Linked DNA regions of Drosophila melanogaster. The gene in region 2 interacts genetically with the main gene of each other region. Each region holds a gene or a part of one and is shown on either strand. Other genes may lie near its edges.

Region 1 (5,024 bases), on a different chromosome or scaffold from region 2:
TTCGTCGCCCCGCTGCCAGCCAGCGAAATTGAGTGCCCCCGCTGTTTGACCACCCAAACATACATACATATATGTATTACCCTTTTTGCGATGATTTCTCGAAAATCCAAAGGACCCCGAACTCATACACGCACCCAACCAATCAAGCCCATACGCACGCACACATAGACACGAACTGTGATTACCCCCACACACATGCACAACAGGATCTGAGTAGTACCTTGAATTTACTCGCTGCGATATGCGTTGCACGTAAGCACACAACATATATGTTTTACAGCACTTTTATGCACTTTTTTTTATTCGTATATGCGTAAATAGAAAACGTGAACGACGTGACCAAGTGTGACCGTTGCTTATTTGGGTCGCAACTCCCGCGTGTGGTCAATTTCAAATTTTTAGGCTGTTGCTTCACCTCTCTGTTCGATGGCTTCCTCTTCTTCTGACCGCAATGGTATTCAAGTTTGGAACAACAACAATGTGCAAGTTCAAAGTCAGAAAATGACAAATAACCGAAAGGCACACAAAAAACAATCCTAAACATGTTTGCTTGCATGCCGAGACACGCACATACATCAATATTCATGTATAAACAAGCTTACAGTGTAGGAAATATAAAAAATTACAAAACTAGAACTGTGATTACCCACACACATGCACAACAAGATCTGCCTACTACCTTAAATTTACTCGCTGCGATATGTGTAGCACATGAGCACACAACATATATGTTTTATAGCACTTTTAGGCGCTTTTTATTCGTTTATGCGTAAATAGAAAACGTGAACGACGTGACCAAGTGTGACCGTTGCTTATTTTCGTCGCAAATCTCGCGTGTGGTCAATTTGAACCGTTGTCAGAAACTATAGGGTCTCGAAACATGTGCAAATAATTCATTTATATCATTCAACTTATGCTGCAAATAATTGCTATTATTATTATTTTAATTAATTATCCACACTGCTTATGTTCTTCGCTCAAACAGGAGGTAATTAAATCATTGAAGGGATTTCAAAAATCTATGTATGCATTCACTACTAACTAGCTTGGTCTTTTTTTTATTTTGCGCCGCTTTATAAATTTAAAAAAATATCATTTGGAATTACACACATCACTGTGTTAAATTAAAAAGAAGATTTTTAGTGATTGTTTTCTTTGAGATATTGAAGTCGCTATCTGCTCCTATATAAATATTATTTCGAAATTATCGATTTATAGTGCGCTATACTGACAAAAAATAGGCTGAAATTCGCATGAACAAGCATATTGTGGTAAGACAAAATGAAATCAGAACTTCCCAAGAACTACGTTGGAAAATTACAAATGCCCAAAAGTATTGCTCCACAAAATATCGTAACGAAATATCGCGAAATTTGCAACACTTTTGTGCACATTCGGTGGCAACGCCGCCTAAGAAAATACCTATTGCCCCAATCGATACCTATCGATGAGCGTGGGCAGCCCTGTTTGTGCATGTGCTGCCATTCGATTTGATAACCAGCACTCCGTGCACACGTTTTTCGGCTTTCTAGAAATAATTGGGCTGCGATTCAAACTGTGAAGTGATTTTTTCTATATTTTTTTTTTGTGTGCACAAAGGCTCTTGTAATTCGAGGATTTGGCCATCGCGAGTGCGGGTGATTAAGCAGGCAGCTCCGATTGCCAGAGTTTTGCGGATGCATGGCAACACTGCCGCACGCCGGCCATGTTATTGTGATTTGTAAAAGGTGGAACGTAGACACGTGTTTAATTCGTGCAGCACTTTAGCGTTGAGAAAACGACAGTAAATCGCCAGCAAATAAGCAAAAACAATACACAACTCGCGTGTGCAGTAGATAGCTTTGAAAGCACCCAAAGATAGTGAGCAAAATAAGTTACCCAAGCGGTTCACAAAGGTAAGAAATCGCAGCACGCGGAACATAACCTAGTACAAAAAAAGTGCGTGTGTGTGTTTGCCAAAACAGAGAGATGTGACGGAAAATGGTGTCATGTTCTGTTCTGTGTGGATTTGTTCCAATGTCCGTGTCTTGAGCTCTATTCGCACCTCTTTCCCGGTACCATAGCCAACGTTTTAACTACCTTTTTTTTGTCAACTTTTTGTTAAGTGTATGACTCTGCCTTGCCGCTGTTGTTGTTGTTCCGGCAAAGTGACAGTAAGTGGTTATGGAAAAAATTTGGAGTTCAATTCGGCGATTACACAATGACAGCACTCACACACACACACACCCACAATCGCACGCATACACATGCCGAGCATAAGTGCGTCTGTGTGTGTTACAGCTTTCACCGTTAATGTTCGGTTTTTTTACGCCTGAAAGAGAACAAAGGCGAAAAGGAGCTGCCACTCCCACAAAGAAAACATTGCGTCTATGCATACATACATATGTATACACATATAAAGTAGTATATCCCCCGATTATACAATCCCCGCCCATTTTTGGCCACCATATGATCGGAAACCACGTTGCCAAGATTATAACAATGTGGACTTTTTCGGCTAGCTGGCAATGTTGTTGCACCTGATTTGTTGTTGTTTTGGTGCTCTCTTCTGGCTTGCCTCTCTGTGTCGCTCATTCTCGCTTGTTCGGGGGAATTTCAAATTTTTAGGCTGTTGCTTCACCTCCCCGTTCGACGGCTTCCTCTTCTTTTGGCCGCACTGGTATTCGAGTTTGGAGCAACAACAATGTGCAAGTTCAAAGTCAGAAAATAACAAATAACCGAAAGGCACACAAAAAACATGCCTAAACATGTTTGTTTGCATGCCGAGACACGCAGACACATCAATATTCATGTATAAACAAGCTTACAGTGTAGGAAATACAAAAAAAAAATAACAAAAACTAGAAGACCATTGCGAAGTTGTTGTGCCCTTATCTTACATTTTGTCGTTTTAATTCAAGAGTTGATACGAATACGTGTAAAACTACACTTCTCCCTGCTCTTATGCATATCCATTTATTAAGAATTTTAGGCAAAATGTGGCAAGCTTTGTCAACAAGTTTTAATACTCTAAGCAAAGGGTATAAAACGTAATCTGAAAAATTCCCGTCACCCGGTTTCGACGATTAGGAAATGCCACAGCTGTCTGGCCAGTTGCCCTTCCATGGCCATTTTATAGCACCCCACTAGGCCCCTTATCCCCCACCCCCTGCATGCTCCCATCAACCGTTGATCTGTCGCTATATGTACATTTATACATATACATATGCATATACATATACATATGTACATACATACAATGTATGTTTGTGTTTCAGTTGCTTGTCGATTGAGCTTATCATCTGACCACTGTGTAACAGGAGGACCTTTGGGCCCTAACAAAGTGACGATATTGTGGATGGGGGGAAGCGGGAGTATAGTGGGTAAATCGGTTCTATAGTGAGTAACTTAAAAGTACTAAAGATCTCATGGCTTTAAACTACTGTTCGGCATGACTTGCACTTTTCGGGCCCCGGAAATTTTGACCAAATTCGAAGGAGCGTCTTACAATCCATTTGAATGGATTTTGATTAACGGTTTTCGGATTTCTTTGTTCTAATGAGCTCGCCACTCTCTTTTCTTCTCTCCGGCTTTCTGTCTCGTTTCCGCTTGGTGGGATGAGTGTGTGTGTGGGTGGAAAGGGGCGCTAAATAAAAACTTGCCACCACGCATCCTCTCTTTTTTCGCGGGTTGGTGGGGGTATGCCGATGCGGAAGAGCGGATGGAGTGAAGAGCGGAGAATCGGTGCCGAAATAAAAAAAATAATACAAATAAAAAGCCAGAGGAATTGGCAATTAGAAGGCGTGCAAAGTAGTTTCCCTTCATATATCGAGCAGTCGATATCTCGAATCTCTCGAACAATTTCGCCGGCATATCGAAACCCAACAAAAAAAGAAAGAAAATAAACAAAAGCATAGAAGAAACTCCAAAAAATAAGCCGAAGCGAATTGATGCCATAAAACGACATAAAATACAAACGAAACCGGAAGAAGCAACGAATTCAGTTTTATCCTAGTGGTAATACAAAAACACACATTTATTTTGTGAATAGGTGATGAATTTCTGGCAAAGCTGTTGTTTTCGTAACTTTTAGTTTTGTTTTGTAATGATTTCGTAACATTTGCCATTGCCATACGTAAACGTAACGGTTTCTTCTTGCGCCTCTCTTCCGTTCTTCGCCGACGCTCTTTTGCGTTCTTGCGCACGCGCTCTTTGCATGCGATCTATCGCTCCATCTCTCTCGCTCTCTCCCGTTGCGTTTTTCCCTTCCGCGTGGCATTCAAAAATCGCTTTGCACCTTTTTCGTCGTTCTCTCTCGTTGTCTCTCTCTCTCTCGGCATTTGTGTTGTTGTCTATATTTACGTATTTATTTGTTGCTATTAATACGCAAAAGTTCAGAAAGGAAAAAACCAAAATCAAACACACTGGCAAACACACACACACACACGCACACTTATGCAGACGAGCACATGCAGGCGGGTCTCGTGACTTGCAAAACCAATTCGAAACCTTTAAATAGGTTTTTTCAAATATAACAACATGCATATGTCGTTATTTAAAAAACAACGTTCATGTGGATGGTGTTGACAAATTAGCCCTTTAATCTCACACTTTTCTTCAAAATTGATTTCATATTTGAAATTCTCGCTTAAATTTAAACGCAAATTCAAAGCTCTTTACTTTGTTTTCAAAGTTATTCTACACAAAATTGCATATTGTGTACCGTTTCTTATCTTGAGCCATGACAAGCTTTTTAAAGTAATTATATACGACGCTACTTGATTTGTAAATTGTTGCCCTGATAAGAGGTGTTCACACATTATTTCCAATTGTAAATTAAACAACAAACCATAACTTTTCCAAATATTGCACAAACAAAAGCTACTTCATTTTTATTTCAGTATTAGTGTGATCAAAATAATCCTATTTGTGTGACAGTACACAAGTATATTTTCAAATCGCACAGACTAATATAACTTCTTCTCCCTTTCAGATCTTTCAATATTCAGCGAAAATGGTATCCGGTCGTCCTCTACTCTACCTCT
Region 2 (5,035 bases):
TTATTAGTTTAAGGCATATTTGCATTGACTTTTGACTAGATTATATTTTAGCAAAGCTTTTCATTTGCATTTTCCAATGTTTTGTTCGAGTAACTAATTTTTGTCAATGCAAATGTACCTAATTCTATTCCGGTGCACTTCTAAATCTTCTGGATTTTTGAATATATTAAGATTTCCAATTAGGAATATCCAAAGAATACCAATCAATGCCTGAACAACTCTAATGAAAACCTATCCTAATGAACCTACCATTCAAGATACCCCAAAATACAATCAATCACTTAAAGATTCAATCATTTGATCACTCACCTTCCATGCGTTGACCTTGGGCGGTGGGGCGGCAATGAATCGCTTGGGCGGCGGAGCTGCTCCAGCGGCGCCTTTCTCGCCCGCCTGCTGATCCCCGTCGGCGGACTTGGCCTCGTTGCCGCTGCTGCCGGCTCCCTCGATGCTGGCACTGGGCGAGGTATCCTTGCGATCCTTGTGTACTTTCGGTCCACCAGGAACGGCGGAGGACACAGCTCCAGCATTGGATCCGGCTGCGCCAGCAGCTCCAGCTGCCGATTTGCGGGGACTACCGCCGCGCGGCGCACGTGGGCGCACTGACTTGCGTTCGGTGTCGGAGGATCCGGGGACGCGGCGGCCACCAGCCTGCTGGGGTTTCTGACCATCGCCACGTCCTCCGGCCGGCTGCTGATCGCGCGGCTTCTCTTTGCGCGCCTTTTTGCGATCGCGGCGGTGATGCGATAGTACCGGCACGAAGTCGTTGTTGTCGTCCAATTCCGATGAGTTCTCGGCGGTGTTATCTCCACCGGAGGCAGCGGCACGCTTCTCACCCGTCTGGGCTAGGCTAACGCTGCCGACGATTGGCGATTCGCCGGCTGCCTCGGCGGCAGCGGCTTCCTCGCTCCACGACTTGAAGCTCTTCAGATTGGGCTGGTTCTCTTTGTTGTCCACGGTGGCTCTGGCGGTGGTGGTGGTGGTGTTGCTGGTGCCGGACTTCTTGGTCTCCAGGTTCTGCACCACATTGGCGTAGGAAGTGGTGGCGCTGCCCGAGGCGGCGACAGTGGCCACAGGAGCGGCACCTCCCGTGGATGGCGTCTCCTCCTTGCTGGACATGCTCCTCAGTTGCGGCTGCTACTCCTGCTGTTTCTTTGACTCCGGTTTCCTCTCCAGAGTGGGCAGCACACTCGCTGCTCCTGCTCCGGCTACGTCAGCGGCTGATCCTCGTTGTCGGGTTGGGGAAACTCTTGTCTGCTTCCTTGCCTGCTCAACGGGATGTGGTGGCTCCAGAGATAGGCTTCCAAACTGAAATGGTTGGCAATAGAAGGATTAGTTTTCACAGGCCTGTTTGGTAGGAACAAGAGGAAAATCCAGGCCAAAGACTACAATTACGTCATTTTATAACTTTTCCACGCAGTGTTACTATAGCTAAGCTTGACTGTTTTGGGTCATTTACATATAGAACTATTCAGGGCAATTCTGCGGTCAATACTAATGCAATTTGTATAGTAATTTGCATTAACTTAAACTTTTAAGTGAGCTAATAAATTCAAGTCAACATCTCGAGTTTTAATGGCCTTATTGGCCGTAGAAAAATAGACTTTTGAAATTAAACTGATACCAATGCAAAGAAAGAGTGGAATGGAAACTAAAACCTCTTTACTAAAACTAAAGAATGGCCATCTAAGCCCAGCTTTACTGTGCCTACTAGGATTTTCCAACAAGATTGCGAGTTGGGCGAACGCGAGGTGTTTGTTGCTCAATTACGGCGATTAATCTCAAGTTCGCCCTTCTGCAATAATATTTACATCTTTACTTAATGCAACTATTACAGCACACACACATACGCACATACACTGCACTTTGAACTTGGGGCTTTCGCAATGGGGATTACTATTCTTGTGGGACTGCAGAAGAGCCTCCCGAGGAGTGCGGTGATTTTTTAGGAACTGGCCATCGGAAAAGCCTCTCCCAGCGGCCGTTTTCTCGATTTTCCTCAGCTGTCACGCTCCTCGGCGAATTGAATTTACTGCCACGGATTTTGCACGATTATATACTGCAGTTTGGGCGAGCGGAGAAAATCCGTTGCGAGGCACGACCAATCGTGAATCGAGAGGTATTATATTATTATGCAGCAGCCACACACAGCAGTGTTCCAAAGAAGAAGAAGAAGTGAGGTTAGATTTTTGCCCCACACAAGAGGAAGAGGAAGCAGCAACACAACGCTAAGCGACCAGGGCTGCCGCAAAGCGAGCTGCCCACTTGCCAAACTGGAGTACAACGTAATGGCATGGCGTTGAACGTAACCGGTAATACGACAGGAAATCGAAGCGAATTAAAGGTGCAAATAAAAGAAACTGCGTTTATAGCTACAATTTGGTTTTATTATACCCTGTGGCCTACCACAATATCCCTGTTTTCGCTTCACCCAATATTATGCAATATCCAATGCACTCGGCTAACGGCCTGCATTGCTGTTAGTGCCGCCCTGGTCGGGCCTTTTAAAACAGCTGATTTCGACTGCAGCTCGCCTCGAATTTCAAAACGATGCACGCGGTCACACACACATACACAAGTTAAGGTTCAGATTGATTTGAATACGCACCAGAGGAGATTGAAATGGAAACAAGAATTGTATTTTATTCCGCTATCTCTCCCACTTCTTGTTTCGTACGTTTCGTATGTTCACTACGCACTTTCCGCTCCGCGTGTTAACACGTACACAAGTGTGTGTGTGCGTGCGTGTGTTGTTATTGTTGCTTTGCTTTTGCTTTTGCGGGTTTCCTTGCACACACACTTTCGCACCACTACGCACCTCGAATCACTGCCTCTCGCTCGCACTCACTCACGCGCTGCTGGGCAGAACGTTACGAATATTATTTATCGGGTTTTTTCGCAATTGCACACACACTCGCTGCGTTATTGGTTGCACCGTACTTGCGCCGTTCACTTGTCTTGTCAATTAACCGCAATTAGTCAATTAATTGGAGCATTATACCGCCGAAACGAAAATCAAAATCGGTTACCAGACATGTGGTTCTACGGGTCCAAAAGAAAAAGAGCAGGGTTGTTGTTCAATTCGTTTGCGTTGCGTTGCGATAGATATCGACCGATGTGATAGCTACGGTTAATAGAGATGTCCCAACCGGCTCGCAACTGATTTAATTTATTTAATGTTGTTTTTAAATATGATTTTGAAATATCTTCCAGAAAGAATTACTTTTCGAGAACAAACTTATTTTTTCCCCATTTACCACTTGATTTGAAATTGAAAATAGGACATTCAAATTTATGCGGCTTATCGATTTCACACTACTTAAGTGCTCGGAATATCATTTATTTTTATCAGAATTTATTTTTATTTAGTTTTATCAGAATTAAATATATATGTAATTTTTCTTTTTCTAAAATTTACAACGTGATTAACATAACGTAAGCAATAACGTGACGTGGCCCTCGTTTTTTAAACATTTGAAACAAATGTTTAATGTCAGATAAGCATTTTTTGTAAAGTGAGGTACATATAGATCTTTGTTTGGTTTTTCCCGTTTTCAAACAAATTTACTGGTTAAACATTTTCCAATCCATTTTTAATTGAAAGCAGCAAAACACTTTTAAAGAAAAACTGGAAATAATTATATTTCAATTGCACATTCACAAAAAGTAGTGGGTCCACAACACAAAGGGTCAGTACAGCTACAAATGTAGGGGTTAAACATATGTGGCTTCAGCCAGAAGGAGCACAAATGGGTTAAGGGTTCGGATTTTGATCCGACAAAATACCAGAAAATTTTAACTTAAGTGCTAGGGTTTGTTTTGTTTTTCTCAGGCAGATACTAAAATGGAATTCTTGAGACGGTGCGAGCCAGTTAGCCAGATAGTTGGGGCGCCTACTCCACGGTCACCGACTTGGCCAGGTTCCTGGGGCAGTCCACGTCGCAGCCGCGGAGCACGGCGATGTGGTAGGACAGCAGCTGGAGCGGAATCACCGTGAGCACGCCCTGCAGGCAGTCCACGGTCCTCGGGATCTGCAGCGAACGCGTGGAGAAGGACATGGTCTCGTTGTCGCCCTCCTCGCAGATTAGGATCGGTCTGCCCTTGCGGGACGTCACCTGCTGCAGTGCATTCATGCACTTGGTGTACACCGGATCCCGCAGCACGATCATCAGCACGGGCATCTCCTTGTCCACCAGGGCCAGTGGTCCGTGTTTCAGTTCTCCAGCCAGGATTCCTTCGCTGTGCATGTACGTCAGCTCCTTGACTTTCTGCAATGAGCAAGTTAATTGATTAAATTCAGCTCATGAAGCGTGGGACAAACATAATAATTAATTTAAGTGCACTTGGCAAATAAACAAGTTAAGTGAATTGTTGACATCGGTTATTTTCCATCATTACGTTCCCATGCATGCATTACGATGCATAAATGAGATTCGATTAAATTATAGCTCAAATTATCAAATGGATTACCAGTGCGCCCTCCAAACAGGTGGCGAAGTTGAAGCCCCTGCCCATAATGAGCAGCGACTTGTGCTCGTACAACTCCTTGGCAAGCTGCTGCACCTGCGAGTTCAGCTTGAGGACAGTCCTAATGTGCTCGTCCAGCTGCGATAGGCCATCGATGATCTCCAAGCGGCGCTGTTGCAGCGAGAGACGATCCTCCGACATGACCAAGGCGAACATAACCAGCGAAATGAACTGGGAGGTGTAGGCCTTCGTGGAGGCCACTCCGATCTCGGGTCCAGCGTTGATGTGGACGCCACAGTGCGACTCGCGGCAGATGCTGCTGCCCACCGTGTTGGTAACGCCCACGATGAGCGCTCCTCGCTGCTTGCAGTATCTGAGCGCCATCAGGGTGTCCGCTGTCTCGCCCGATTGGGAGATGAAGAAGCACACGTCGTCCCGGAAAATGGGCGTGTTTCTGTCCAGAAAATCGGAGGCCAGTTCCACCATAACGGGCAGTTCGGTCAGTTCCTCCAGCAGCTGCCTGGTGGCCACCGCACTGTGGTAGGATGTGCCGCACGCAATTAGCATC

What was found. Genes that interact genetically often act in the same process or in processes that back each other up.
Region 1: of larp (region 2) and spoon, changing one suppresses a phenotype caused by changing the other (phenotypic suppression), as found in Drosophila melanogaster (one study listed by BioGRID).

The regions. Positions count from the first base shown.
Region 1 is NC_004354.4:5,417,323-5,422,346, reverse strand, and holds the start of spoon (spoonbill), read left to right. Parts: upstream 1-2,010; 5' UTR 2,011-2,108; coding exon 2,109-2,153; intron 2,154-3,250; exon of another isoform or gene 3,251-4,030; intron 4,031-4,972; coding exon 4,973-5,024.
Region 2 is NT_033777.3:28,333,400-28,338,434, forward strand, and holds the start of larp (La related protein), read right to left. Parts: upstream 3,042-5,035; 5' UTR 2,609-3,041; intron 2,143-2,608; exon of another isoform or gene 1,855-2,142; intron 1,309-1,854; 5' UTR 1,120-1,308; coding exon 310-1,119; intron 1-309. Other genes in the region: Gfat2 (Glutamine:fructose-6-phosphate aminotransferase 2), read right to left, coding at 3,894-4,268, 4,471-5,035. UniProt on the Drosophila melanogaster protein: RNA-binding protein that regulates the translation of specific target mRNA species downstream of the mTORC1 complex, in function of growth signals and nutrient availability.